Drosophila melanogaster: one gene and its partners. The protein of the gene in region 2 interacts with the protein of the main gene of each other region in a pairwise test. Each region holds a gene or a part of one and is shown on either strand. Other genes may lie near its edges.

Region 1 (6,954 bases), on a different chromosome or scaffold from region 2:
AGCGATGGCATCACCATAGTGCGGTCCATATCCGATGCAATCGAGACGAATCACAACAAGTACGGAGCGGCCAGGCGGAACAACTGCTTCCTGCGGCGTCCCGATATCCTGGAAACGGTATATTCGGTCGAGGAGGATCCCGAACCCACCACGGACGTGGCAGAGAAGCGGGACAAGTTCAAGAACCGCTCCGACAAGGCTCTCAGCTCCAGCTCGACGGAGGGTCAGATAGACGCCGCCAGTCCCTCGACCGCAGACAAAGCCAAAGATTCATCGCCCGTCGACGGCGGATCCACCATTCCAAGACGCCAACTGGGAGCCCTCAAAAGATCTCCCAGCCACGACTCTCCGTGCACCACACTCAGTGTCAAGGTCCCCCAGCTGCAGCCACCATCTCCTACACCATCGACACAAGGAGTCCAGGATCCGCCCAACGGAAAAACCCAGGTAACTGAAAAGTAAAAGATTAAACTGCAAAATGTTGCACTTAAATTTTAAATTTCAGGATAATGTTGAGCCAATGGAGGGAATTCCCATATTCTTAGATTGCGAAATAGACTTATAGCGTTTATTAAATTATGAAACTTTACTAGAGAAAAGACTTTCTGTTTTCCTGCATAGCACTAAATCTTTGAATTAAATGTATTAAACGAATCTTTGGCTTTTCCAATGAAGCATAGATCTTTCTATCTTATATGCATAGTTAATGTATATATCCTTTTCCAGGTCACCAACTACAACCGGGTTATGCTCAACCATCGCTCGGTGACGAAGCCCAAGGACGTCAAGTACAAGCGCATCAACAAGGCGAAGTCCAAGAGTCTGGAGGAGCTGCGAGGGCGCCTCAAGAACCTGGTGGAGCGGCCTCCTGGCCTGGACGGCGGCTACTCCGGCGGCATGATGCCGCAGGCGGCGCAGTCATATGCGTGACATTCGCAGCAGCCGGACGGAGAGTCCCAGAGGTCAACGGAGGGGGTAAAGAACGGCCAGCCGGAGGCGGCGATGGAACCTCGTCCGCGGAGGGAGAGCGCGGAGCCAATGACCTCGACCTCGGCCGCGACCTCGACCTCGACTTCGATCTCCGCCACCCAGGAGCCGCAGGGCAGCAGACATGGCTTTCCCAAGAGGTCGCTGACCTTGCCACGCATCCTGGTGCCCCGGCAATCGGCAGCGGGACTGGCGGGCTCGAGCGGCGGCGGCGGTGGTGGGCGTGGCGGCTTCTAGCAATTAAAGAAATTTTTCATACGCAATTGTGATAAAAAGTAAACACGTTTTCTTCCTCCGTCTCTGTAGTGCCGACTTCAGTTGCTTTAACATGATTCTCTTTTGTAACATTTGTTTCCTTGACATTTATCCTGCGCCTAGTTTGGTAAACTATGCATTTACTTAAGTTATAGCTTAAGTTTTTCATAAAACGGAACTGCATTTTGACTTAACATTACATATAGTTTCTCACAAAACAAATAAATCATTTTAAAAACATATTTTTCTGTCTATGATTTTCACACTTTACAAGAAGCGTATGAAAAATTTCGCCAACCGTAAGTCAGATATATCTTACAAAAGAACGGAAAGTGTACTCGAGGACAATATTTCCAAATCCCAGATGTTGAATGGTGAGTAGCTCCAGTCAGTCCCAGAATCGTGGGTGAAAATAGGCTAGAAAGGATATTATAAAAATTTACTCAAGATATTACTAAATAGCCCGTAAGAACAAATGAATATTTATGTTTTAAGCAAAGTGTTAATCGTTAATATTACCTATATACACATTTCTGCAACGTTTAAGAGCTTCTCTGAATCTTCGTTTACATACATATATAAAGCATTTCGACATGCTTTTGAAAACTATACAACCAAAACAATGTTAGAACATACTTCTCTATTGATATTCGACCTAGTTGTAAGCTCTACTCCATGGACTGTCTTCTAGATAACAGAATTTACAATTGATCATAAATATATATGAGTATATTTTCTTACTAACTATTACTAGCCATTTATAAGTATTTAAGAACTTTAGCTAGCATAAGATAGAAGCATATTATTTTTGCATTTTGTCACGATTATTTTATAACTTGTTATCGACTATTGGGGTCTGCATGGCCCCAATGTCCTGAATGTCAGATGTACCTTGAGAACTCGTAAAATACTGTAAAGATTTAATCCAAATATCAGCGTTAGTATAAGCAACTGAATTAGAATCTCCTTAGGTGTGAACTACGACAATGGCTGCTATCAGGTCTCAATTATAAAGAATATTATATATATATATATATATTTAAAAGCCAAATCAGTACAATGCCTGGACAACTGCAACACAAAAAGCTATGTATATATGCGAAATAACTTATATCAAATATATATCAATATGCAACTTGGTGTTTCAGTGATAGTCCTACTACAATGTGTACCTACATATGTGTGTTATCTCGAAATGCGGATTAAAATTGTTCAAAACAAAAAATTTTCAGTATTCAACTATAAAGTATGCATTCCTAAGTCAATTGGACGTTAATTTAATTATTTTAAGCTGATTGTTGAAAATGCCAGTGCATTTGCCAACAATCGCGGGTAAAGCGTATTATTCTGAACGTAAATGTAATAAGACTTATGTATAAGTACTTTTGCAGAGATACAAAATGAAATAGTTATAAGGACGTTTATCGCATGCCAAACGATCCTTGATCCTTGATATTTTTTGATTTTACACAACTTTAAAAGATAATATAGAAAATATGGTTATTGTACAAATTATTAAGGATGTTTTGGTAATCCAGACTCTTTTCTTTACAATTAAATTTATTTAAAAACACTTTTTCGATTTTACCAACCTTTAGAGATCAGATTGAAAATGTTGTAAGTGTACAAAAGAATGAGCATATTTTGATTATCCGGACGACTTTCTTCCCGTTACAAGCCAATTTACAAATGCTGAATATGAATATATATATACATATAGTCCGGATCAATATGAGAATGCAGTAGCTTGCTAATAACCTAAGTATATGCTAAGATGTGTAATTTACAAATCTAATTGTTAATGTTACTCGTGTGTATGCAGATTACTACTAACATTCGACTAGACGGCATCTTTTTTTCCTAGCTAGCTTAAATAGAAAACCACGAACGAACATTAATGGCCATTAATTTGCTCACTCTACGAAATTCGTATAAACAGTACTTGAGATATTTTCTACTTGCGCTTAATAAAACAAACAAAACCTAAGCCAGTCGAGATTGTTTGGGTGGGGAGACCGTTTGGCATCCGTCCGACATGATCAGTCTAAATCGAGCAGCGATCAGAGGAGCATGGCGAGATCAGGGCGCAGTTCGAGGTTTCTTATCGGCGGCAGCACTTGCTGTTCGATGCTTCTGGGTCTTATCTGTCTGGTGAGTCGGTGAGTCGGCAGTGGATTAGATAAGGAACTTATTGATTTTCCTCTCGATTGCCAGGCTCTGGCGGACTCATCCCAAGTGAAAGAACGCAGCCCTACCATCTTGGTGAGAAATACAATTCAAGCGGTGGAGAGGCTCTTCAATCAGGTGCTCTACACGACCATCGAAGATGCCCGCCAACGACTACCGGGTCTTCCGGCCAACGAAACCATCGATCGGCAGTACTTCGAGGAGCTCGACCTGGTTGCTGGGAACGAGGACTATTACAGCACTGCATTCTATATCTTCGCCTGGATAAACAGCGACCTCATGTACCATAAGACTCCCGATAAGTTGCTCGTCGAGGTTCTTCCCGGCGAGAAGATCGCCATCCGCAGATTCTTCGCCAAGGTCAAGCCGCATCTTACCAAGTATCTGCGACTCAGTCGACAGGACAGGTCGGAATTGGTTTCCAACGTCACCCAGTTGGCCACCGAAACCAAGGACAGTCTGATCACAACCTTCTTGGAGTTTCCCCAGAACCTGAAGAGCCAACTTCCTGAGCTCCAGCTAATGGACTACACCAAATTGGCTCAGGCTTTGGTGCAGGGGGTGGCCAGTGGTATATGGACGAAGGCTTAAGATTAATAGCTAAATATTTAAACAATATCATAGAATTAGAAAGTGTTTGTAATAAAATGAGAAATGTACTTCAAAGAACAATATTCGGAATCTATTTATACGAGGACTTTATTCCTGAAAAATGCCGTTTAACTTCCGGAAAATTTCCGACTGTCTGATCAACATGTGTAGATATCGAGAACTGATACTTTAAAGCAATAAAGATATTATCGTGACTTGGAACTATATACGACTTTGTAATAACAAAATGCATGGTTTCCACTACCCACTAATTAATATACGAAGGGGCAGCACTCGTTCTTATCACGCTCACCGATTTCTGAAGTCTGATTACAGTCTATACGTTGTCTCACGATCAGTGGGTATTCATTACAGAGGAGGCGTTCTCCCATTTTGTATAAAAATTGTGAATTTAAGAGAGGGAATATAAAAGGAATCAGTTCGATAGAGACTAGATACAGTTTCAAATCATGGCCAGCAGACTAACTTGGACTTTTCTAGTCGCTGTAGCTGCCCTCCAGCTTTCGGTAAGATCCTTAGATTTGCTTATATCCTTTTGGAATCAACAGAAACCTTTAACTTTCAGCTTGCAGCGCCTCTCATTAACAAATGGCAGTTACAATTCGAAGTGTCCAATGAACTCTTTCAAATGGTAACAGACGCCATGGAACAGCTACGACATGTCTTTCAATTGGTCATCGACGAGGCCGAACTCATTTTACCACCAAACTCCAAGGGACACATTCTCAGGGAGCTTAAGGACTTCGTCGCGGCCTTGGACACCCTGGACTTCGATGATTCATTCGAGCTGAACAGACTGGAGGATGCTCTTGAGGAACTGGAAAGCATCATTTCGATTGCAGGCAGCAAAGAATTCGAATCGGAAGCTGACGAGGTTGTCGTTCAGCTATTCATACAGCACGGAGTTGAGGACCTGGAGCAGATCCTGGAAAGAAACTTGGAAACTACTCTGAAAATCGTAGAGCAGAAGGTGGAGAAATACATGAGCACATGGTCCGACAGTCGGTTGGCCAGGAACGCGGCGATGGTCAAGCAGTTTAATGACTTTAAGAACGAAAAGGATGTCTATGAGAAGCTGGACAAGTTAACCAACTCTGATTTCATTTGAATAAACATATCATGTTTCAAGTACATTTAAGTTTAAACCAAATAACTACAGATACATAGTCCGAACGTATATATTATTTCCAGAAACTGCCTTGCAAATATCAAAACCAGTAGTCCAGAGTTCATGTTTTGTATTAGCACGCTCGCCGGAAGCTAAAATTTGATTACATATTGCAGCTGATTTAACAATCAATGAGCATATAATAAATACGCTAGTAAGTGTTTACTACTTAGTGCAGGTATGACGTAAGAAATGTGGAATTCATTTTACAAAGGTATTGAATACCTTAATATACCTTTTTTAGATTTGTAAGCTGTCAGGTTTCAATAGCTTTGAAAGTTTTACTGACTTTCTATTCAATACAATTGTTATTTAGTCTGATAAATAAACCGTGCGGAAAGTAAAATAACTGATTATTTGTAATGCCAAGAATCTTTACATTACACACAGACAAGTCAGTATAATCTCTAGCAGCCTTAACTAGTTGTTTTTGAGAACTCGGAACTTTCATTCATCAGCTTCTCTTAGGAAAGGTGTTAAAAGTTGCGATAAGATGATCCAAATCCATCCCGCGAGTCGAACACATCCCGCTCGATTTGGGGAGGTCCTCTTCCATCCGATGTGTAGCTATAGGATTCGCTCCGGTAAAAGTTGTTAGAAGAGCCCCCGGAACCAAGGGGACCACTTCTACCAGTCGGAATACTGGAACCACCGGCGATAAGGGGGATAATGGAACCACTGGATGGCATAGGTACCTGGAGAAGGTGTATTAGTTTTTTAGTTAGGAAAACGATTGCACAAGATTACCGGTCGAGATACAAAGGTTCCTAAGTTTTGATTGCGGAATGGGGAGTCAGGAATTGGTCGAATGCCTCTGCCACGGAAATCCGGGGAACTGGGAAAAGGTCTGTTGTCGAAGCCGCTGCCTCTGGGACCCACATTGTAATCGGTTTGGAATGCATTGTCATAGTTGGGTTGCTGAAATAGTTCAATCGTCAATCGGATTGTAATACTATGTGTAACTACTTATAAAAACACTTACACGAATGGGGAAACCGTTGGATCGGGGAGGGATCTGAGGATAAAACGGTCGAGGTTGGAAGGGGATAGGTCGGAGTGGAACGTCCTCCTCTTCGTAGGTGTCGGTCACCTCCTCCACTTCACCGCTAGATCTCTTCAAGGATAATAAATATATATTTATTTCCATTTATATTAAGTGTATTGGATGAGACTCACCTCTAGAAACTCGACATCGTTATTTGCTTCGGCCAGGGCAGAGCTGTTTCCGCCATTTAAGGATGATCTATTAGAAATAGGTTTGTTGCTCGATTTCGGACTCACTGGCTTGAAGAGATGCGTGGGAATGTTGATAGTTTCACGAGGCACCCTTAGCTGTGGATTATGGAATATTGCAAAGAAGATACTATCTAAATTGTTTGCTAGCAAACTTACCTTGGGATCCGGCAGAGTGTGGCATATCTGAAAATATAGAACTCATTGAAGCCTAAATTGTGGAACAAACCGATGAATAGTTACCCCCTGAGCGATGAACAGACAGCCCAGCAAAACGAATTGGAGCGGCAACATCTCGCAGATCTCGACTGACACTCACGTCTCGAACTTCCGACGATCGACAGAACTATGAGTTGACTGGGTGGAATGCGCTGCAATTAAATGCAACCACGATCCCAACCCGTTCGACTGGAAATCACCAAGGTGAGAGCGTCGGGGCCCGGGGTTATCAGCCTGGGGATTACACGATAGGGAAATCAGAAGCCCATAACTCAATCTCATATGCGCAAATC
Region 2 (8,513 bases):
CCCTCACCGCACCGATCGACTGCGCTCTGACAGTGCTGATCCAAAATCTTCTCCTCTTATTGCAGCTGCAAAAACCTGATCGTCATCATCAGTGTCGCTTTGCTGGTGCTGTTGTTGTTGTTGTTGTTCTCGCTGGCACCCCGCCTTTTGCATACTGCTATTGATAAAACCAGCATATATACATCATATATATTGGAAATAGCAATAAGTTCTTCGTGTTGCTTCTCCAATTCGTACCGACCCAGTCATGGAACATGGCACCCACCCAATTCGATGCTTGGAACTTATTTTCCGAAAATGGCACACGAACACAAACCCTATTAAATTGGTGTTATGAAATGTGCAGCCGTCGAACAACAACTAAAAACTAAACCCGCAGACTGATGTGAACAACGAAAGTAAACTATAAAGATTGCCCCGCACCCCACACGCACACTCACACACACACTCGCGCACACACACACACACACGCACACTTTTGCAAGAGTGTTTCCCATTTTCCGACTGGCCTCGGATCTGGGGGATCTGTTCTTCCTCTTCCTCTCAGACTGGGGAAACCCACTTGTAACTCATAACTTACATAACTCGGAAGAAGGGGAAACCGAAACCCTACACTTACCCGCTTGTATTTTCGGTGGAACGACCGTTTTGCCCACGAGCGTTAAAGGTGCTCCTCCAGTTCCGCCTCCAACGGCGGCTGCTGCAGCCGATCCTCCTGGCTGGATGGGCTTGTTGCTGGTCTCAACGGTCAGGCTGTTCTTGTGCAAAGGTGTTCCGGAGCGTATGACCACCGGTTGGCCATTGGATGCACCTCCGCCAAGCAGCGTGGTCTTGCGATTGGGGGCCAGAATGGCCACCAACGGTTGGCTGGGATTACTGGGCGATGGCACCAGCTGGAACAGGGGAGCATCTGCTGATCCGACAGTGGCGCCAGCTCCAGCGGACTTTATGGAATTTGGCACTATGTTGACCGACTTTAGTTTGGATTTCATTGGCTGGACATTGCTGATGGTGATGTTGCAGGTCTTGTTGCCGCCCATGGGCGCCAGGGGCAGGAAGCGTAGCTCCTCCTTGCGCGGAGCTAGTGTGAGGAGGCTGTTGGGATTTGGATTTCCGCCGGAGGCAGAGGCAACACCATTGCAATTCGCGGTAGATGGTGAGATGACTCCTCCATTCGCTGGCGACATGGACAATGATATATTGCGCTGGAGCTGCTTGGCCTCCGCACTGGCCATCGACAATGGCAGCATTTTGAGCCGTTTATGCTTAGAGCTATGGATTTTTGATTTCTTTTTTAACCAGCGGAAATCGAAGTTATATTCTTGTCTTTACAATGTTTGTACGTTGAGGCGCACAAAAGTTTTTGGCATTTTACACTCCACACCGGCGTTAGTATTTTTTTGTATTCCCCCTTTTCACAAAACTATTTGGCAATTTGTTATGTTCTCGATCGCGCGATTTGTGCTTTATATCCGTATATTCATCAATCACTTTTCTCTTAATCAAAATCGCAGAAATTGTTAAGTTTTTGAATTAAAGTTATTGTTTCGCGCGTTTCCTTGCTCTCATTGTTCGTGTTTCTCGGTTCTGATAATATACCAACATTTGGTATTTAAATGCACAGATTGCGAATTAGTTTTAAATATTTACGGTTACTTTGGGTTTGTTATTACCTGAAAAAGGTTAAGTTGGATTTAGTTTTGGATGCTATATAAGGATTTTAAAGCTGCAAAAGCATGGTAATCAGAAAATAGCTAGCAGGTAGCAGTTGCTTTGCAACTTGTATGCATATTCGCTGTTAATAGCCAATCGCCATCTGTCCCAATAAAAAGGGAAATATCTAGCAGCTTAAAGTCATTAGTTACAATACCTGTGTTATCCTACCTTAATATTTCTGTTTATTGCGCTTGCTTTTTTTTTTTTTTTGTTTTTACAATTTACCCGCGGCCATTGGGCAAAACCTCGTTGCCCCAGTACGGCCACACTGCACGTATATTGAATTTTGATACCATTTTTAGTTATGCTGCCCAAAGATTTATGTTATCTCAAAAACGACTAGAACCTAAAAATAGCTCCTCTGGGCTTTGAATCCCATCTCACGACCACATTTACGAGCCCTTGATGGCTAAACCGATCCGATCTCCCAGCCCCATGTTACGTAGCAGCCCACCCAATGTCACAATAACTGAAACCTCTTATCTTGGTTCGGATGAACCACTGGCCAGGGAATTTGGTCTAGGGCCCATGGAATGCGTCTTCATTTTTCACTTTCAGAGAGTCTACAGGTTCCGCTGCCAGGATCCAACTGTTGACTTACCCGCACGCGATTCGTTTTTGCCCGCGGAGCGAAATGAAATGTACAGCCGCGGAGGAGGCGGAAACCAGGATATCGGGATGCTGTTGGCTTGCCGAACACGGCTGGAATGATAGAAGTTCAGAAAGTCAGGTCGCGAGTGTCGAAAGGTGGGCCAGGATATGTAGGCTTACCTGCTTTAACCGTATGATTCGATTGAACTGCAGTTTGTTGCTGCGAGGGTGTTACTGCTCGTTCGACCTCGTAAATGCAGGCAAAAACGAATGGCCAGCGAAATCGGGCGGAAAATCTTAACAATTTAAGCACATTTTTCACCAGGTAAGCCAACTAAAGCAGCTCGAAACATTACGCAGTGCCATCGAAACGGAAGCGTTCTGTCGTTCAACAATATTAAAAACTGCAAAAGCATGTGTGTATTTTAATTTCTATGATCGAACGGCTCAGGTGGCAACTCTGGTTGCCGATTCGTGTGCGCCCGATGTCGGTTATTTTGAAAAGGCGGAAATAAAATGGTAAATAAACGAAGCCTTTCTTGTTTGGTGTTAACTGTTTTGGAAATACGCTACTTAGCAGCCTTAAATGCTTAAATTAATATCAAGCGATGGCTTTACATGTACCTGATATTGTAAAATAAGTGCAGAGGAAAATTTCGCAATATCCAACAGAGCTTTTTACCTTCTCGGAACAATTTTAACGAAAAGAGTTTGTCCTCTGAATAGTTGTATATATTTAAAACCGCACATTAACTTAGCAACTTTATCAATATTTAATTGCTTCAAAGATTACAAAATACAGCTTCTTCTTCTTCTCCTTAAACTTCTGTTAGTACTGGAAAACGCCGCTCATACTAAACAACGGCAGCGCCAGCAGCTAGTGTTGGCCAACTTCCCAAAGGGTAGTTTTATTTTCGTGTCAATTGTTAAGAGAAATTTGGCAAAAGTGAATAGAGTTTAAGTTTTATAGAATAAAGAGTACCCCTGAACACTGCCAGCCATGTCCCTGTTAAACAATGACGACAGCATTCCCAACATGGACGAGGATCCACAGGGTAAGTGAAAACTGGAGGGAGTGGGTGGAGTCCCGAGTGATGATGTTATCAATTGCTAATCCCCCCCAAAAACGCAGTGGTCATTCCGGACGACGAGCCACCGGCGACGGGACGAATGCCCAGTGGGAGGTCCATGGACTCGTTGCGTTCATCGTTCACCAACCGCAGTTCCACGCCAGATTCATCGCACAATTCGCTGGAGGCCATGGAAATGGCCCAGGACGATCGGGAGGAGAAGGCCCGCCTCATCACACAGGTCCTGGAGCTGCAGAACACCCTGGACGACCTGTCGCAACGCGTCGATTCCGTCAAGGAGGAAAATCTGAAGCTGCGCTCCGAGAACCAGGTGCTCGGCCAGTACATCGAGAACCTGATGTCGGCCTCATCGGTGTTCCAGTCCACCAGTCCCAGTGCGGCCAAAAAGAAGTAATCTTCTATAGTCAATCGACCCACCGGTACTGGAAACCAAAAACCTTCTCAAATATGCCTTCTCGTTCACGCTAGAGCTACATGTATATTTTAATCTGTAACACTCGAAATTAAGCTATTGCAATGTTATTTCAGTTGCCCGATTGTCGAATTTGTATTTGTTTAGGCTTAAGCTTATGGCGCGCTATGTATTTTATACATAGAAGTAATTAATTTATATAGATAATTAATAAATCAATAATACCCCACGCAATTTAAGAATTTGAAAAGGAAAACGGGATGGCAGCACTGCCAATCCAGCTGCTTTTAGAGGTCGCTTTACTAAATAGCCATGATCGAATTGCAAAACTTACAACAGAGTGACATTTTTAATTAAATAATAAAATGTATTTATTTGTATAAATCTTAGCAATTATTAGAAAAACACCTGCTCACATTTTATTTGAAAATTTTGAACTGCCTACCTACACAACGGCCTGGCAACTTTGGTCGGCCAGCTGTTCGTCGTGGTCGTGCAACAACAAATTGAGCAGTGACTTTTCGTATTCGAATAACGTAGAAAGCGTGTATAAGTCGTAGTCTCTGCTCGGAACATTTTAAAACCAGTCCAAAACTATAGGAAAAACAAGAAAAGTGATCGTGCTTACACCAGAACAGTTGAACGTGCAACAAAAGTGATTGCGAAATACACTGCAAGGTGTGTGTGTGTGACTTGGTGCTCTAGCTGTGTGTGTGTGGGGAAAAACAAAACATTTGCGCTGTGGTTTTTGCTTTTAACAATGTTTGTTTGAGTAGGAAATTCCAATTTTAGTGGCCATTAATGGAACGCAAACATTTAGTTGGCCTTCCTTTGTATTTGCAGTTTCTATTTTGTATCTTCCCCTCCCGCTCGCAATTGTGGATAAAAGCAACAACAAAGTGCAGACAGAGACCAGTGTTGTGAAAGACCCCCCACACACACACACACATGCACATGCGTTGCATTTATTGTTTTTTAATATGCACTTTATTTTGAATGCCACTCACCAACGCCCCGCCATCCGCCGACCGCTTCGCCCACGCATTTGCGTCAACAGAGGAGGCCAGACGTCATAATCGCATCACTGGGAAGCGCGACAGACGTCGACATTTTATGGCGGAAGCAGCAGTGTCAATCTGCGATTGAAGGACAGCTCTAAAGGAACACCCAGGATCCCCGCCAGCGACGGCAGACAGCAACATGTTTTGACCTCCCACTCGGTACAGCTGGAGCGTCCGCTGCTCTTCTCTGTTCCCCTTGGTCACCTAGTCATCCGTTCTCACCACATCGCCCCATCAGCCCTCCATAATAAGCACGGCCAACCATGTCCTTCTCCGACTTCGACGCCATCTACGAGGATGAGCAGCTGGACGAGCTGGAGCACTTCCAGGACCAAACGGTGGCGCCGGTCCAGGAGCCCATCATCATACGCGGCGCGGGCAACATGACGGTGTAAGTGGGTCTATGCACTGAGTGATAAGCGGGAAAACAGATAGCTGGAGTAGTTAAGGGTATAACCTCATTCAGTAAGACAACACCATTATCAGCACAATTGAAGGCAAAGTAAGAACTTTTAACGCCATAGTAATCTTTAGTGAAACAATGAACTACGTATTTCATTTTATAAAGGGTAGGTTGCCACAGAGATCCTTTAGATTATCTGCATATAGAATATCTATCTTATAGAATATTATACAGATACAGAAATGATAGGTGTATGCTTTCAGCATTGTCTGTAACATTGTCTGCATGAACGAACCTATTTAAAAAGTAGTTCAAGGTTAACGCCACCCAATTTCGATCTAGGCCCTGCCCTGCTATTTGACCCCATTTTTGGGGGAGAACGCCTTTGCTGCCCAGCAGTCAATTACAGGAAGGTTGCATAAGAAATGAGTCAGGGCAGAATAATTGCACTTGCACTGCACACGAATTGTAACTTTTTCACACGCACACTTGCAGATTTGGGCTAAGCAACCGCTTCAACGCGGAGTTTCCCTGCGGTCTGCTGTCGCGCGTGGCTCCCGAGGAGTTCAAGGCGACGGTGGGCCGGATCAACGGAGTGCTGAAGAAATCCCTGCCCGTCAACGTCAAATGGCTCTTCTGCGGCTGCGTCTGCTGTTGCTGCACGCTCGGTTGTTCCCTCTGGCCCGTCATCTGTCTCAGCAAACGCGTAAGCCTTAGATTAATCTAGAAAATCGGTCATGAGCCTAGCCTAAATCCTTTTTCAATTTTGTAGACACAACTCACACTGGACAAGCTGTTCGAATGGGAGAACAATCATCTATATCATAAGCTGGGCCTGCACTGGCGACTGCATAAGCAACAATGTGATTCCAATTCCATGATGGAGTATGTTATTTTAATTGAATTTATACCCAAAACGCCCATCTACCGGCCCGACTAAGTGCCGTCGTGGAGGAGGAGGGGCGTGGTATCACAGGGTCGCGGGGTTGTCGTAATGGTAATTGTAAAATAAACACTAGCTGCTAACACTTTGCTTTAGGCGTTTACGGATCGTGCTAATCAGCAGAGAGTATAGGTACACTAATCCATAGGACAGGACAGGCGCAGGCACAGCACACACAATGGGCATTAACTAATTTAGTGCACTCGCAGATTGTCATTTTAAGCTAGCTACTATTTCATGTTCGGTTTATAACAAAATTTTGCAAGAACTCTAGGCGGTAAGTTTGATTTCTCGTAACTTTAGGGCGCTCTACTTTTTCTGTTTTTCGTTTAGTTGTAAATTCTTATTTGTTTCCCAAACTAATGCAATACTATTTAATAAATTTCGTGTTAGGAAATTTACAGTGATTTCGAAAATGTGTTTTTCTAACTGCATTCATAGTAAATGAATATTTTTCAACTAAGAATTCAAAGCCCACTTTCGATACCCGAACAAATTCACACATATTCTGTTCATGTAATGTACAAGGTACATATATATTTTGATATATATCATATGGTTACCTAAGTATTTTGTGGTTTCAATAACTTTACAGCACTTTGGGGCATAGACGGTTGATGAACAATAAATACATTTTAATTTACTTTAGGTTTCATTTATGTATTAATGCTTAAATATAATCAAGTCTTTTAACAATGCGCGGGTCTGGCTCTAGGAATATATATATATATATATATGGTTAGTATATATAGCTTAAGGAATGCGATTGGAATGAATCGGTATTAACAATGGTGTTTGTCTTTTTGGGGTAATACTTGGCGATGTGTTAGGAAGTTAGGAGATAGCCATCTAGTGCCCTCCGCTAATGATTTCGGCATTGTTGGAGCCCTCGGACATGGCTAGATTGGACATTTCCAGGTCGCTGTCATTGGCCATGTTCTCGTCGTAGTCGCCTTCGTCTTCCTCGTCCTCATCGTGCTCATAATCATCATCTTCATTGTCTTCATAATCTGGCTCTTCCATAGTTTCCTGCACATCATCGCCAGCATACCCTTCTCCATTTTCATTGTCCTCCTCGCTTTCCGGAGTCTGAAGCTCGGTTTCTGGCTCGAACGGCATTTGAGTTTCGGGAATGACACCTTCCTTATCGTCGGGCTCCATTTTAGCTGCCTCGGAAACTCCACTGACCAGCTCGTTGGCTGTTCTCAGCAGCGCATCTGTTTGTCTGCGCAGCGTCCGCATTACCAACGAGTCCTGCTTCATCTGGAACACGTGCTCCCGCCGTGCGATCTCCTTCTGTTGGAGGAAGAAGTCTTGCAACATCTCCTTCTGTGCCGTGCGCATGGCAGAAGCCAGTTGGCTGAGTTCCTTGGCCAGCAGCTCGTCCTGACGCTTTCTGCGCTGCTTGGTCTCCTCCTCGCTGGACTTCTTTTTGCTCTCCTCGCCAACCGCAGGGTGAGATCGGATATCTTTCGGAGCTGAGCCGTACATATTACTGCTGCGCTGCAGTTTCACCGGCACGGGCATTCCCATCACCGGACTTTGGCCCAATCGACGCTTTCGCGGCTGGAGCTGTTGGTGCTGCACCGGTGTCAGCTGGTGGGAAGACATCATGTGGGCCTGCCTGCTGGTGGAAGCACCTGCTTGCTGACCAGCTATCTGATACTTCGGTGGCGGCCCGCGACCCAAGAGACTGGACATTGTGGACGGCGACTGCGGTGGACTGGACGTGGACTGATCGATGTCGTGAGTCATTCGATCCGGACGCAGCGAGTAGCCCGTGTCCCTCATTGGCACCGTCTTCATACGCATTCCTGTCGACTGGACACTGATATCCCTGGGCAGTCGCAGCCCGGACTGACTGCTATTCGGATTCTGCCTTCTCGGTAACATTAACTTGCTGTGTGGGTGGACAAAGTTTATGCTGCTGGTGCTCTGAAGCGGCACGGACCGGCTCATCTGGCCCGGATTGGGTATCTGCTGCTGTCCCATCTTGGTGAGCGTCGGTGGCGGGCGGTCGATCTGCAGTATGCCGTGGGTGGGTCGTCGCAACTCGCCCTTGGCAAAGGAGGCCACACGCAGGGGAGGTGGTGCCACCGGCGTGGATGAGTAAACGCTGTCATCTTCGGTGTCATCCACAGTTACTGGTGGCGGTGAAGGCGAGGCTGGCGCTGTGGGCGGCGGTGTGTTGGTGGTGTCCATGCCCAGATCCACGTCGGGTTCATGTTTAACGGACACTATAAACGGCAAGTGGGGCACATCCTCCTGGTCGCCGTTGTCGGCATGGGAGCTTCCT
Region 3 (8,751 bases), on a different chromosome or scaffold from region 2:
GGCACAGGAGCGGAGGAGCAGGCTGCTGATACTGATGCTGATGCAGCTGCAGCACTGGAACAACAACAAAGTTCGGTCAAACGTCAGAAATGTTCGTTCGCTTTGGCTATTGAACGCAGTCCAAAGCGCAATGAATCCACCCACTGCCCACTGTTCACTAGCCCACCACGCAGTGCCCACCCCATGCAGGGACCAAGGACCTACTCCTCGGCCCGGGCATCGGCAAATGCAAATGCAAATGGGTAAAAAGCGCTTTGACGACCATGTGGATGGAGGCGGTTGGGCTGTTGCTGGACGCAGTGATGAGTGGGCGGTGGGGTATGGTGGACAGTTGGCCGGGGCAGGCGCAAAACGCATTTCAAATCGAAAAGTGGTACTTCACTCATTTGGCGCGGGGAAACGGCGGCAGGTGACTAACCAGAGGATTCGTTTCTCCACATCGGAATGAATACAGGGTATCACGAAGAAGAGCAGGCATGGCAAATACTATACTTTGATAACCTTTCAATGGTTTATGTTTTATTATTTTATTATTATGGATAATATCTAAAACCTAGTTTAATGATATTCGATAAACAGTATTCATGAAATATAGTTCAAGATAACAGTTTAAAATACACTTCTTTTGACTTGTGCATGTTTAACTGAAATAGAAGGGTATCAGCTAGTGGCAATCCCAATGGTTCCATCACATTGGATGTTTCTCTTTTCAGTTGGTATGCTTGGCTGTAGGAAAAATTGACTAAATGCGCCGTTTTGTGTGCATTACGTTCGAAGGCGACCTGTACGGGCGGACCCCGTCTGTCGATATCGAAGCACGACCAACCATTTCTAATTGCCATATTTCCCATAACTCTCCAAGCTTGCCAGTTTTCTATATCAGCTGTATAATTTTCGAAACTTTCCGGTTTTGGTGGTTGATTTGGACTAGGAAGAGTGCAGCCAGGGGTGAAGTGGGGGTTGTGTTGGGTTTTTGGGTGGGTTGAGACTGACTTGGGTTGGGTGGTGAGGCGCGAATCGACTCGGGATGGTCGCTAAAAAGTGCATTTTGAGCTGTGGTGTCCCGTTTCGGGATTATGGGGGTTGTGCGTGATGGCGTCAAAAGGTCAGTGGCAGGGTGGAATATCATTGAATTGGAAACTAGAAATGAATTTTTTTTCGAAACCAACATAGATTTACGTAGATTGATGGCAAATAAATAATACTAGCACATGGATTTAGTGTTCAAGATATTAAAGTGTATAAAATTAATTTCGTGTAAAACTTAAAATTATACCAAACTGGCAATCGAGGATAATGCGCTTAAGATGCTGATATACCACAAAATCTGACGTTAAATAATCGTTTCGATTATCATAAGCAGTATTTTTAGGGTTTAAAGAAAGGATATACATTTTTGATGGATAGTATTCCATTTTATAAAAAGCGGTTTTGATTATTATTTAGTATAAATAAAGACCGTACTGTAAAAAACTGTAGCTGAATCTAGTGTATTTAGAATAATACAACAAATTATAACTAGCAAATAACTAGCAAACTTAACACCTGTATCTTAGTAGTGATAGATGGATATAATATTTTCATTATGTTATGTTCAGGAATATTATTGAACAACCATTTAAGCTTCTTTGATATAGTCGTGCTTTAAAATTAAATATATTACACACCTGCACCATTTTGATGTCCTTTTGCGGGTGTCCCGTTAGTGAGTCCTCCTAATCCAACGGATATTTCCGTGCCGGTTGTTCGGCGAGCGGTAAATTTAGCAGTGGGAGCTGTTAGAGCGAGACGCCAGCAAAACAAACGAAACCAGCTACAACAACTGAACTTAAGACGCGAGAGAGTGGCGCACGTGGTGGAATCACTTTTGTTTTAGTTGCGCTTTTATTGCACCGCCTGTCGAATTCATTGAATTTGGGGGGGAATACGCACGCACACACGCACTCACGACTGCATTGGCGAATAGTGTGGGCGAAGTGCAACGAAAGAGCGGGAGAAGCGAAACGAAAGACACGCGGTTTCAATTTGCTAACAGTGCCTATCGCGATAGGAGTGCTTGTGTCTTGGTTTTACAATTAATTGTATTGCACTACGCGAGCTTCAGTTGACTGCACCGTTTCGAACCGCATCTGGCTCACTACTTGCTTGCTTTGCGTGCGCCAAACGAACCGAACGCGAACTCAGTCAGTTTATTCCTATTTCCACGACGCGTTCTAGAGTCAGCTGCGATGGCCAGAGGTGGCAGCGGGCCGATGACAAGCCGATACTATCGATGTATTTATCTATCTATCCATCATCGTTGCCCGGCTGCGGATATCGATTAGTTGCATGGGCCGCTCCGGTTTTTCAAACATTATTTCCATATTTTTGTAAAAAAAGTTAAATGAGAAGAAAATAATAATAATAATAATAATAATGTATAATAAATGTGCGTCAAATTAGCGACGATAGCGGAACGGTGGAAATTGGAACTCGGGGACTTTTTTTTTGCGAATTGTGTCCCGCTGATCTAAACTACCGTGTCCCTATAGGCTAATAGGCTAAGCCTAATTATATAATGATCCTGAAAAATGCTTTAAAAATTATCCACCGATTTCCAGAAATCCGCCTCACAGCGAAGGAGTTTAAATTTATTTAATAATGCCGCCTTCTCTAGCACCACAGCCAATCCATGTCATAAACCACATTATTAACAATCAAATTTCGACTTTAAAGATTTATTAATCGGTTCAACCAAAGACACTAAAGATACTTCTAGTGTACTTCTACTTCAACGCGCACGTTACAAACCCATGCTCCCACAAAATAAATATATACCGAAAAATACTGCCAGTATATTTACATCTTAAATTCATGGAGCATGCAGCTCGGACCCAAACCGTGGTGAAAAACTTGGATGTAATCATATCAATTTCAAAAATATTCAAATCCGTTTCAATTTTATACAGAATAATATATCTGATTACTTTTACATATATATTTAGACATTTGCTTATATCTGCAGAGCCATCTCATCATACAATCACCTTATATTACAAACTTATTAGGGAACAGCAAGAGCTAAGCTTCTGATCCAATCCAATTAAACATTTTCCAAGCCAATTAAACATTTTCGCAGCTATTTATTTAAAGAATTCCCGTTTGAGAGCGTTCTAGCAGATGATTTAGCGACACCGGCTTCCAGTTGCTGAAGCTGCCATCGCTGACCATGCAGACGTGACGATCGATGTAGCAAAACAGCTTTCCCACACGATAAATCTGTAAATGCAATAAATCTATTAGTATATAACGCTCTGTGGTCGAAAATGGATTAACAGTCACCTGTTTGCCCATCTCCCGTCGCCCTGGCAGAGGAGCGAAGATGATTCCCAAGTCGGCGCATTGCTGCGATACCAACTCTTTGAACTCCAGCTGAGCGGGCGGATGAATCAGGTCCATCATTATGACTGGAGCCGGAGGAACTGGAGGCGGGGGCGTGGGCGTCACCGTGGGCTGCAGCAGGGTATCGCTGGCTCTGTGCATAATTTCCAGTGCTCGCCGCAGATGCTCTTTAACGCTGGGCTCGCGCAGAAGCGGTTCGCTCAACATGCTCTTCCAGCCGGTGTACCATCGCGAGATCTCCGCGTAGTCCGGCGACTGATTCAGCCAGACGACGAGCACTTGCATCCAGCGCGGGAAGAAGTGTCTGTCCAGTAGTTGGGCCATGTACATGGGATCGATGAGCTCGTGCCACTCCCATACCTGCTGCCACAGCTCCAGGTCCTGGTGCATTGGATTGATGATGAGCTCGCCTAGAGTCGCCTGCAGTTTGGGCACTATGTACCGCTGCAGGAACTCTTGCATCTCTTCCTCGGGGAAGGCCTTCTGCCAGGGCGTAAGCATGGCTCTGGCTGATCGGTCATGCGGTGACCAGGCGCGCAATGCTATACCCAATTTGCTGCGGATCTGAGGATAGACGGCCTCCTCCAGCTTGCTGCCCAAGATGGCATGCCACGGCAGCACCCAACTGTCGATCGGAACGGTGTCGGTGAGCGGATCCCACTCCTGGACACCAGCCACCAGTCGTGGCAGAACCAGTTGCTCGAGAACCGAATCCAAGACCCAGCTAGGTAGCAGGGGTGCCCAGGCATCTAGGAGTGAAGCCATTGGCGGATGCTCCTTCGGCTGCCATGCGGCAGCGCTGGACCGAAACGAAGGCATCACGCCGGCCCAGATGAGCGAGGAGTACGGATCGAAGACGTTGCGGGGCTGCTGCTCTGCTGCATCTCCTTGCTGGAGCATGCCGCGCCATTTCTTGATGAGTGGCAGCGGTTCCGTTGGGTTTTCCAGTGGCTGCCACTGAACTAGTTCTCGCTTCAGGAGCGGCGCTATTACACCGGCTGCCAGATCTGCAAGTCCGAACTCATGGAATTCGGCAGCGTAGTCCACGAGCAGCTCCCGAAAGAGTCGTTCAGCCTGAGGTAAACTCAAGTCTGGATTATCGATTAACCGCTCCACGCGCTCCAACGATTCCTCCAGCGTGCGTATGTGGTTTCGTTCTAGCTGGACTATCTCCTCCAGTTTCCGGTGCTCGCTTTCCAGCGCTGCCTGCTGGCTGGAACACTCGCGTTCCTGGTTGTCGATGGCGATGATCTGCTGCTCGCACTGGCTAACCAAGAGCTGGAGGTTGTGCGTCAGCTCGGGCATGGCAAAAACGCAGGCGGGAGCGGATCCCTTTTCCGTCGCCTCCGTGTCGTAGAGCGTCTCCTCTGGCGTAATTTTTGCCTGTCCCAAGGCATGATAGCCACTCAGCACTCGTTTCTCTGGGCCTGTCATATCGATCACCCGCACATTGCCCAGTTTCTTGCTTAGCTTCTCCGACAGTAGGTGGCCGGACGTGTGACCCTTGGCAATCACCTCCTCCACGGACTTGTAGTAGTAGCGCTTACCCTGCCGCTCCATTGGTTCGGCGCCACCGGCTGAGCCCTTTCGCCACTTGTTCAGCTGGTCTTTGAACTCTTTCGCCTCGCGCACGTCCTCATCCACTTTGATGCTCTTGTTCGTCTTTCCTCCGATGCTTGCCGCAGTTTCGGGTCCATAGGCGCCGATAGCACCTCTGCCCTTGCGGACATGGGCTTGCACAGGATGCGAAATGCCCTGCAGATCTTTGCCCAAACCCTTGCCAGGCTCATAGCCCATTTGAAGGAGTAGCTTAGCTCCAATGCCGCGTGTATGCTGCTCCCAGGCGCCCACGTTGCGCTCGCTGGCGATGTGGGAGCGATGCTGAAATGTGGTGCTTGGCTGTTTCCGGCTCAGCGTTGGCCTCTCCTCTTCTGATGAGCTGTTGGAGCTGCCCGGATCGTTCTGGCCGAAGGCTGGCCGTCCGCTGGCGGCGGAATCGTCGCTCTCCTCGCCCTGGTCAGCCTCTGCTCCCTCTTTTTGCGATCCTTTCTCATCATCGGCTTGGAGCGCCTTCTTCTTCTTTTTGCCCGCCTGCTGAATGCCGCCGGCCACAAAATTGACGGGCATGGTGTAGTCTTTGGGTTTACGGGCGGCGCGCCCCCTTCTCTTAGTTCCGCCCTCGCCACCACTCTCCTCCTCGCTGTCATCCGCCCAAATACCTACAGAAAGTTCGTTTACAAACAAATTCCGGCATGTATTTCAATACATACCGTAGATCTGTTGGTGCCTGCTCTGGCGGCCTCGGGGCCGATTGATGTTGAACTCATTGTCCAGATCGTAGTCCGTTATCTCGAAACGCTCGTAATCGTTGTCCGACATCCTGGCTAGACGTGTATATATTACTTACAGCAGAAACTGAAACTTTTGTGAATGTAAACAAACGCACCATTGACAATAGGGATGGCCCTAAATTAGCAATTTTATCGATAAGAAAATCGATACAAAAGTACTAAATACTAACTTTAGTACACTATTAGTATCGCTTATCGGCGCCAAAATAAATTTAAATTTTTTGACAATTGAAAACCACAACTAATTGACTCAATTACCGAACTATTATTAGTTTAGTAAGTTCATTCCTAACAGAATGAGCTCCCTTTTAATTAGCATAAGTACGCAGTATGAAATACTTGAGAATCCGATTTCAAAAGAAAACTATTTTTAGAAAATTTTTTTAAAGGTATTTGATTATAGTGATAAGATATTAAAATCGATAAAGTAAGAAATACATGTTTATGCCGCCTAATCGTCTGTTGACCATATATGTATTTGGCTAACACTCGATTAGCGCTATCAATTGGTTACGTCTACTGAATTGTTATGATAAGGATAGGAAAATACGACAATATTGATAACTAGACGGATAAGAAAATCACTTGAACTATGATAGCTTCGCGGGAACTTCAGTAATTTTAGTCTGTTTCCATTATTCATCGCCGAATGTTGTCTGTCTCGTTCGTGAAATAACTTTTAATCTTAACAGAAAAAAATCCCTCAAACAATTTGCGTCGTTTCGTACGTCATAAAATGGGTTAATCTTTAATGTGCAAACTCTTGTCGATGGAAATGAAAGTGTCAGCCGGTAAAGTGAAAAGTTGTTCTCTGTGTATGGTACCATAAATGTCACCGTTTTTATCAGAGTACGTAAATCATGTTTAGTTTTACTGGGTAAAAGGAGGTAGTCATCTTCATTGTTGGGCAGCCCCATTATCAGAACATTATAAAACATCGATGAACCCCCTTGCATGCTACCACATTACATGGAATCTTATCGGATGAGTACAGCACTAATTTCAGTTCATACAATAGGCCCAGTAAATTAGACATAACTACAGACAAAAAGCTCAGTCGCTGCCATAAACTCTTCTTTCGATTTCCATATCCATTTTCAACGGAATTATATCAATATTTCTGTTTCCGTTCACAGGTCAATAAGTTCTTTGTGTTCTGTTAGTTAAGGAGTTCCTGTGAATCAATGTTCTCGAAATCAGCATGGCGACCATAAGTTTTTGCAATAGGAAATATGTCCGTCTGTGGCCAGTGCTCATACTGTTCAATGTGGCACTCCTGCTGGTTTGGAGGAACCTGCAGCAGGCCCAGAAACTGGCCGCATCTTCTAATACTGGTGGGCAAAAGTCGGTAGGACTTTTGCTGTCCAACGAGTCGAATCCCTCACGTTTTTCTGCAAACTTCCATCTCGCCAATGATCAGCATCCGAAAATAATCCGGCGAGAGGACTCCGCTCGCACCAAGGAATTGCGATCATTGCTCAAGTGCCGCGACCGATCGCTCCGTTTCGAGAGGCTTCAGCACGGAGAGTTCTGGCTGCTTCAGAATCTTGTCATGGGACGAAAGAGTCGGGAAGTCGGCTGTGCCGAGTCCGTGACGTATACCACCAACGGGGACTTTACGTTCTTCGATAATCTGGAAATGGTGGTATCACGGTGAGTGCTCTTTTATCTAATAAACACTTAATAGCAATCTATAAAGATTTCTTTGCTAACTTAATTTACTTATTTTCCAGTTGGCGTGCTCCAGTTAGTTTTGCCATCCACACTCCAGGTTATGATCTTAACACCACACTGGATGCCATTCGGTATGTGCGAAACTGTTTGCCGGAGAGCGATAGCATCAAGGACTGGGTCTCCTTTCACGTGTACTTCCCAAATCAGCACATGCCGGAATACGTGCCATATGACGAGGCCGAGGTACTAATGTATCCGCACATGTGCACCCTGGCCAATGGATCGTTGGTATCGCCGCTCTACACGCAAATCCCAACCACGGATAGCTACAAGTCAAGGGCCAACCTCACGTACCCCATCAATGTGGGCAGGAATATAGCCAGGCTGGCGACCAACACCCACTTCATCTTTGCCTGCGACATCGAGCTGTATCCCAGTGTGGGCTTCGTCGACCAATTCCTGGACATGGTGGCCAGAAACCACAGTGTCCTTGCACTGGATCCGCGGCAACGCAGAAGGGTGTATCCTCTACCCGTTTTCGAGATCGAAACGGGCGCCAAAGTGCCGGTAGACAAGGACGAATTGTTGGCCCTCTATCGAAAGCAGCAGGCGCAGGTGTTTCACCTGAAGCTTTGCCCCACATGCCACACTATTCCTGGCCAAGAAGAGTGGCTCAATCGAACCTCTCGAGCCGATGACCATCTGCACGTGTTTAGCAAGGCGCTGCGAAAATGGAAGTTCCGAGCCTGGGAGCCCTTCTATGTAAGCGATAACACGGAGCCACTGTTCGACGAACGCGTCACGTGGGAGGGTCAGTCGAACAAGCGCATACAGGTGAGTTACTACTGTAGTCAAGTTTCCGTTTCACAGTGCAACCTTTTATTGCAGAACTATGCTATGTGCCTTTTGGACTACGAATACCATGTCTTGAGTCCCGCATTTCTAGTGCACAGTCCTGGGATCAAGCAATCCAGCAAAGCTGACTCCACTCGTCTTCAATACGCGAAGGAAATGACTAAATTTATTAAGAATAAAATCGAGCCCGAATATCGTGTGCTCTTCGGAAAGAACTCAGCCTGCAAGACGTGACATTACTTTGATAATATAACAAATAATGTAATTAATGAATTTATGCCCCATCTAAGTTATGCCTTTATAGGAAAAAGAGTCTATTCTTTTTACTACTTAAACCGAGTAGTATGTATATTTTGAACTTAATGCTCACTGCTTGCTATTCATCAATGTGAAAATATATTATATTTTATACAATTAGATAATAAGACCTAATGGATACAATTCCCTATACCTTGGGAAACTGATTGCTCCGCTGTTTCATGTAGTACAA
Region 4 (6,812 bases), on a different chromosome or scaffold from region 2:
CTGCAAAAATCTTAAAGTAAACTTTAAAGTGATTTTACTAGGTCCCACCATCATTTTTATTCAATTTAAGCCACTTCAGCTCCCTTTTCCCGTACAGCTCGTGCATCTGATTGTGAGTTACAACAAGAGATTCAGAGGGATACAACCCGTATGGCTTTGGCGAAGTGAAGGAACCAGGGAGCGATGCATGCAAATTGGACATTGCACTGATGAGCGATGTCCTTCTGCATTTCTGCCTTTCTGTCTGTGCGGTGCACTGGCTTGTTTAATTGCAACTAAAAGCGGAAGCCAACAACAGAGCAGAGTGCAAAATGGCAAAAAGAAAGACACGAATATAACGCTGACTGCTCCCCTGAACTGTGTCAAAAACAAGGACCAACAGCTGCGAAAAAAGCCCACACTCTCACACAGAAACGAGGCGAAACTAAAGATTCGCACACGAGTTTGTTGTTTAGTTTTGCTCGTTTGTTTGTTTGTCGCCCTGTTTGTTTGGCGTACGTTACTTCCTGCAATTTGCACACTGCCAAAGCGTCAACTTTCCTCAGTGGCATTGCAAAAAAATGTATTAAATATATACTAAACTGTTAAGCCCACATTTACATCTTTAAAGTTTTTTATATATATATATTTTAATCCTAGTGCCTGAAAGCCGAAGTAACGTAGATATCCATGCCATCTCCTTAGAAGGATACCTTTATTTAATAATCAACTCAAACTGAAACAGAAATTCAAACTAGTTATGAAGTAGTTTTGTAATTTGATCAATAGCAGATCATTAAGACTAACTTCATATGGGAGCAAACTTACTAGGAAGCTTTCTGATACGGGACTGCAGGCACTATTCTCATATGGAGACGGCGACATCCTTTCCCTCTCTGCAGGATGCAGGAGATCTGGGTGGGTGGCGAGAAGGTGAGAAGGGGCGTGTGGCCTGTCCGGGGGGCAAACAGAGACGAGTCGGCTTTCCTTTCTGACACACTATTTTGCATGTTGCATGAGCTGTCTCTCTCGTTCGCTTTCTCCCCTTTCTCCGGCCCCTTTCACCTGTGCCTGGCACATATGTCACTTGTCTAAATGGCAACGACAACGCTCACCCGAACTGGCCAGCCGATGGATGTGGCCAGGACGATGGTTTGGGGTGTGAAGAGGAGTGCAAGGGGACAGGTGAAATTTGCTGCCGACTGGCCATGCATGCAAATGCAACATTTGCAACTGTTTGAGTCGCTGTTTTCTCTTCCTATACCCTAACAGCAGGAGTTTTAATCTTTTAAAGCCATCTTCATTTTAATAGCCTTTAAAGTGATTTAAATATATGTATAATTGTTTTAAACCTTCTTTTTAATATTTTCCAAAGTTTATAGTGCCGTTTTTAAAATTAGTTTTTTTTTAGGTAAGAGTGGTTTCTGCTTCGGTTATAGAGACTTTTCTAGCTTTTCTTGTTTTTGCAGTTGCTTTCGCCAACAAGGTGGCAACACTGACACCAAGCAACGACACCAGCAACCCTGCTGCAACAGCAAAAACATGTGGCAAGACTACACCAACAACCGGCAGTAATTTGGACACCTTGTCTATGTGTGTTTGCTTAGGCGGGCGATAAAAAATATGGGAAGTCGGAAAAGCGGGTCTAACGGACCAAATGAACATCTAGGGAAAACGTGGGTAAAGGGTTAAAAGCAAATATGAGAGTCTAGACTATATTTGGATGCATGACAAAAAAACCTAAATAATATTCAATATTTCATTTCTAATAGTACGTTCAATTCGTTTAAATGTTAGTTTCCAAGAAATTGTTCACACAGAAGAAAAGCTATTTGCAGTATAATTGGTATAAAAACGAATTTCTATTTCATAATTGAGCTCAAGACACTTACAGCCTAATGAAATTTATTTATGCAATTTAACAAATAAAAAAATAACCCCTTTTGGCCTTCCTAATCAAGTTTGTCAACGATTTAACGCACATCAATTAAAGCCGCTCAAAGATGGAACGCTTAATGATGGCCTTTGTTTTCATCACTCTCCATGGCCAGTCATTCGACCAGTCAGTTAGTCAGTCAGTTTGTCTATCTGCTGTCCCTTTATATATATTATTGCGGATATGTATGTCTGTCCCTGTGGGGCTTCCCGGCAGTGCTGCTGATTTTATACATTCAAATTAGTTCGCTTTGCACGAGTGGCCCTCGAATGAGAGAGAGTACTGCTGTGATATTTCCCGACCACGGCTGACTGGCCAGGCAACCAAGCAACCCGTCGGAACACGGCACAACCGCTCCAATGCCACTACAGCATACATACATACACAAAGATATATGTATATACATATATATATGGAGGGGGTCCGGATTGGGGGGCTATCAAGTTGCCTGTGAAGTGCTTATCCTCAAATCAGTGACACTTGAATGTGCAGCCCATGTGACTGACCAAGTGGGTGACTGACTGACTGCTGAGCGACCAGAGCTGTCATCTTGGCTACTTTCCCTTCACAAATAATATAATGTAATATAATACAATTTAATATTATTCGTTTTTATATTAACGGTTTATATCTGAGGCATATTCTGACATGACTTCTTCATTCAAAGCTGAATAAAAGATATGATACGTTACTCCTTCAAGGGAAATACGCCAACACTGAGCAGCAACTTTACAAAAGTGCGAAGACTTCGTTTCATCTATTTACTTTGCCCTTCGACCACCGCTTGCCATTTGAATCTGAAACTGTCCAACAATTTGAGTGTTGTTTGTGTCCCTGATTGAGTAGCTAAATAAACTTTGGCCTTTTATTTAATTTAACGGATTTATGACTGTCGAAGATAATTGTCAAATGGCTTAATAGTGTTATTGAAACAGGAAGAACTACATGGTATTTTTTTACACAAAATGTATAGAATAAGAAGTCAAAAAAAAAAAAAACATCCCTTCAGAAACTAACAAATTAGTCGGACTAAACCTATAAGCTGAAAAACCTTGTCTATTCCACAAAATGGCCAATAAATTAGCGCAAGTAATTTGCGCAATTAACTAAAAACAGTTAAAACCGCTATTTGTTCGGTTAGCGAAATCGCTCGATACAGCAGCGCGAATGCAATGAATTGGCAATAAATTCTCGGTTCTCGGTTGAAACTTTCTCTAACCCCTTTCTCTTTATTTTATTCGATTGTGTGGGTGTGTCGGCAGAGTCAACTAATTTATGTTTTAACACACTCGCACATGCAAATTAGCACACACACAAAATGAATGCAAATATTGGGTTCCAAGGGGGCTGAAGCTGCCATAATGAGCTCAAGTTGGGCAAATGGCTGAATGGGTGAATGGGTCTGAGGTTTTCAGGCGTTCTTTGCGGTTCATCTGGCAACAACTGTTGACAAAATGAAATCAATAAATTTTAGCGCAAATCAATTAAAATACACCAGCCAGATTGAATTAGAGTGCTGGGTGCTTTTGGTCTTCTTCTTGTTGGCCAAACGAAAATATTTGTCAATTTGCGGTATTCACAAAATTAAATTTGACACACACGCACCAGCAAGATGGAATGTCAGGATGAGTTTTAGGCAATTTTATCTCACTTTGTGTGAAATTTGTTATAATTTATTTATACGGCTTATTAAAATTATTGTAAGTTCGGCCATTTAATTAAAAGTCAAACTTTATTTGCAACGAGAAAAGCGGAGCAAACATGACAGTTGAAAGTGGAATCAAATTTATGAAATCGAATTATGGCATGCATGGATTTGAAGCAGTTTTCGGGTTAAGCCCCAATAAGATGGATAAACCCATAAATCCTCAAAATAACAATCTAACAGAAATTGAATGGAGGTAAATAACCTTTGACATTTCAAAGAAATTACAAGGAATCGGGACAAAGGAGCATGGTTAACTTACTTTTTTTGAAATAGTTTTCTATTTAATTGAGTTGTACGTTCTGCAATCATAAATTGTGTATGTAAATAATAGTGTAGCTTTAATCGTAGTTGACTTTTCATTACTTATCCAATTAAATTTCAAAGGCCAAGCATTAAAAATAGTAGGAACACAAATTACTTCGTGAAGACAAACGTTGAGAGATAAACACCCTCATAGCAAAAATCGGCCAATACCAAAGTTTTGGCAAAATATTTTGGAAGCGGCTGTCTTTGGTCATTCATTAATATTTGGCACTGAATACCGGTAAGAAAATCAAATAATCAGGTAGTTTGCCCTGCCATAATTGTCAACTGAGCATTTAAGCAGAATAGAAAAGCTACTTGAAATCGTCCGGCCGGAACTCAAATGTAGATTTGAAAAACTATTCAAGTGTTAAGTGCTCTGCTGACCATGTTGAAGGACACCGCCACCGCATCGACCAGCGAACTTGCAGGGGAAGTGGGTGACGCCCATTCGACTCCTGGCAGCTGCCCTCCGCCCGCCGCGGGCGACACGCCCCCCGTCGTTAGCCGACCGCTGGACCGACGCCTAAACCCCAACGCACCTGTGTTTGTGCCCGACTTCAAGGCCAGCCAGGTGGCCAAAAAGCTATTTGATGAGTGTAAGTACGGAAAGGAAATAATGTTTATTTAAAACAATATATATTGTATTTTGAAGCCCTTTATATATATTATGCTTTGACTTGCATAGGTTTTTAGTATTGTGCATTTATTTATTTCTTTTTAATTTCCTGATGGATTTATAAATTTAATACCCATGCAGTATCTACGTACACCCGGTGGAGTACGGCAACCTCGGAGGACATATGCTACGAGCCCCGTTACGAGTCCATCTGGCGTGAGGCCAGCATCCAGCAGCAGCAGGGTCTGCGCCATCCGGGTTTCGTTTACAGCCTGGATCCTGGCGAGGAGGAGGTTGGCGAACTGGAGTTTGACGAAGTCCAGGCCATGAATATCGGAGCCGAGTCCTATGATCCCAAGCTAGGAAGCACATCAGTTAGCCAGGCAATGGAAGTTCGCGAAACTGTGGGTGATGTGGAGGAACCTTTAGATGAGGAAAAAAGGAATGGCTTTCAGAATCGCCACTCCGCCAGACCGGCCAAAAAGTGCTGTCTGGTCATGTAGGTCCCACGGAATGGCAAATTTATATATTTATTTTCCATTTGTTTTCACACCTACATGCAACTCAGTAAATTGCTTCCTTACTCTCTCAATTTGTGTATTTTTTTCCTATACCATAGGTGCTTATAAGGGATTTCCCTTTTAGTAAGTAATTACATTTTTTCTGAATTTAATACGCTTCCAGCGCGAAGAATTAAATTCTACAGGTATTTTCCAACGTCGTTGCAATTAAGACGCTTTTCAGAACTTTCTAAATGCACTCCTTTCAAGCCCACTTACGGCAGACTGGAAGAAAGGAAGCTCCGTGGAGAAAGGTCGACTATACCTATGACATAATTTATAGCCTACATTTTAGCGCCCTAAACGGGTTTGTTTTACTTTCCACGAAGGCTCTTGCCTTTCTGCCTTCAGCTACTTTGTCCTGACTTTCTAATGATGTTGAATATGCATGAAAACTTTTGCCGCACGCAGAATTCTCCTCGCTGGATGGCAGCTGAAAGCTTGATTCACCTGTCTATGGGTAGCATGGCAGCAGGACTGCCTTCAGATTTAACTACCACTGAAAATAGTACGGGCTTAAATAACTAATTTTTAAACTCAATAAAATAACATGTGGAATTTAAAAAACACCTTCACTTTCAAATACGAGTGGCTATGCAAATTAAATTTTCATTTAAACTAGCGTTTTTTTACTCGTCCAAATAAAGTTCGAACATTTTCTTAGACTGCACACTTTTGCATTGTCTGTTAGCAAAGTGGCGACAACTTTTCATTTTTTTCGTTTCTTGATTATTTTAGTTTTACTCAATTTTTGGATAAGGAAGGAAAACTCATAAGGCGTTTGGGTGCTGGAGTGTGTGTCTAGTAATGAGAAAACTTTCGTGTCCTTGCAATGTCTCATTTAGAGCTGTCCGTACCCCGATGTCTGATGTCCCGAGCCACGGATAACGCAGCTGCCCACGACTTTTGAATGATAAGCGCGGCGAAAAGGACACGCAGTGCAGTCCCATCTGCAGCTGCACAAATGCTTGGCGGAAACAATTACCAACTCGTATGCAAAAGTGCCAAATTGCCAATGGAGCTTCTCCATGGGCGAAACTTTCACGCCGCTCAATGTCAGCGGGACATGTGAGCAAAAGGAGTCGAATGGAGGTGCCGGACCATACACCTGGGCCCCCCAATTTTTGGTCCTTTGGCAAGGATTCGCTTGGCAATTTTGTGCCAATTTTCTGCGCCTTCTGTTTGTTTATGAAACAAGTCACGTAAGCGACGAAACCCGTTCGCTCCTTTTGCCCTTTTTGGGCGCGTTGAACTGGCAGCTGGCTAAGTGGGCGTGCCATCACCTTGTTTTTGCCACTATTACTCTCCCCGTTGTTGTTGTTTCGCCCTGGGGCGATTGTCATTGGAATCGAGAATTCAGCAATTGGCAAACGTCACGAAAGCGGCTAAAACTTTTCACGATCTTTCGCGCCCTTTTGCCTGATTGTTGATTTGGCAATCTTTTGTTTTAGCCCGTTTTCGACTGCAACTTTGTCCTTTTTTCCGAGCCTTTTTGTTGGCTTGTTTTAGGTTGCTATTTATTGCATAAAATTTATGCCCGTATATTGTGCAATTGAAAAAGTTTGTCATATTTCTGTGATTTTCCGCCCTTATCGTCGTCTGAAGGACAGTACGTTTCGAAAATATAAGTACTTTGCAACAAGAATATTACGATTCAAGAAATTGTAGTGTTCACTTATTTATTTTTCATTATATATGATAAACATT

What was found.
Region 1: the proteins of CG5938 (region 2) and OS9 interact in a two-hybrid assay, tested with the Drosophila melanogaster proteins (one large-scale study listed by BioGRID).
Region 3: the proteins of CG5938 (region 2) and sip1 interact in a two-hybrid assay, tested with the Drosophila melanogaster proteins (one large-scale study listed by BioGRID).
Region 4: the proteins of CG5938 (region 2) and CG15136 interact in a two-hybrid assay, tested with the Drosophila melanogaster proteins (one large-scale study listed by BioGRID).

The regions. Positions count from the first base shown.
Region 1 is NT_033779.5:19,964,013-19,970,966, reverse strand, and holds OS9 (Olfactory-specific 9), read left to right. Parts: upstream 1-4,456; 5' UTR 4,457-4,490; coding exon 4,491-4,547; intron 4,548-4,606; coding exon 4,607-5,149; 3' UTR 5,150-5,303; downstream 5,304-6,954. Other genes in the region: CG43861 (uncharacterized protein), read left to right, coding at 1-447, 727-930; Hf (helical factor), read left to right, coding at 3,313-3,393, 3,457-4,020; CG10680 (uncharacterized protein), read right to left, coding at 5,686-5,904, 5,957-6,127, 6,192-6,323, 6,386-6,541, 6,602-6,628, 6,686-6,736.
Region 2 is NT_033777.3:27,270,524-27,279,036, forward strand, and holds CG5938 (uncharacterized protein), read left to right. Parts: upstream 1-4,270; 5' UTR 4,271-4,488; intron 4,489-4,653; exon of another isoform or gene 4,654-4,867; 5' UTR 4,868-5,134; coding exon 5,135-5,262; intron 5,263-5,769; coding exon 5,770-5,980; intron 5,981-6,046; coding exon 6,047-6,214; 3' UTR 6,215-6,895; downstream 6,896-8,513. Other genes in the region: l(3)mbt (lethal (3) malignant brain tumor), read right to left, coding at 620-1,250; CG5934 (uncharacterized protein), read left to right, coding at 3,308-3,362, 3,440-3,792; mrt (martik), read right to left, coding at 7,067-8,513.
Region 3 is NT_033779.5:5,718,145-5,726,895, reverse strand, and holds sip1 (septin interacting protein 1), read right to left. Parts: upstream 5,846-8,751; 5' UTR 5,761-5,845; coding exon 5,652-5,760; intron 5,601-5,651; coding exon 3,322-5,600; intron 3,259-3,321; coding exon 3,127-3,258; 3' UTR 2,952-3,126; downstream 1-2,951. Other genes in the region: CG11030 (uncharacterized protein), read right to left, coding at 1,668-1,676; CG11149 (uncharacterized protein), read left to right, coding at 6,934-7,385, 7,466-8,495. UniProt on the Drosophila melanogaster protein: May be involved in pre-mRNA splicing.
Region 4 is NT_033779.5:17,045,484-17,052,295, reverse strand, and holds CG15136 (uncharacterized protein), read left to right. Parts: upstream 1-4,014; 5' UTR 4,015-4,167; intron 4,168-4,227; exon of another isoform or gene 4,228-4,230; 5' UTR 4,231-4,314; coding exon 4,315-4,525; intron 4,526-4,686; coding exon 4,687-5,048; 3' UTR 5,049-5,135; downstream 5,136-6,812.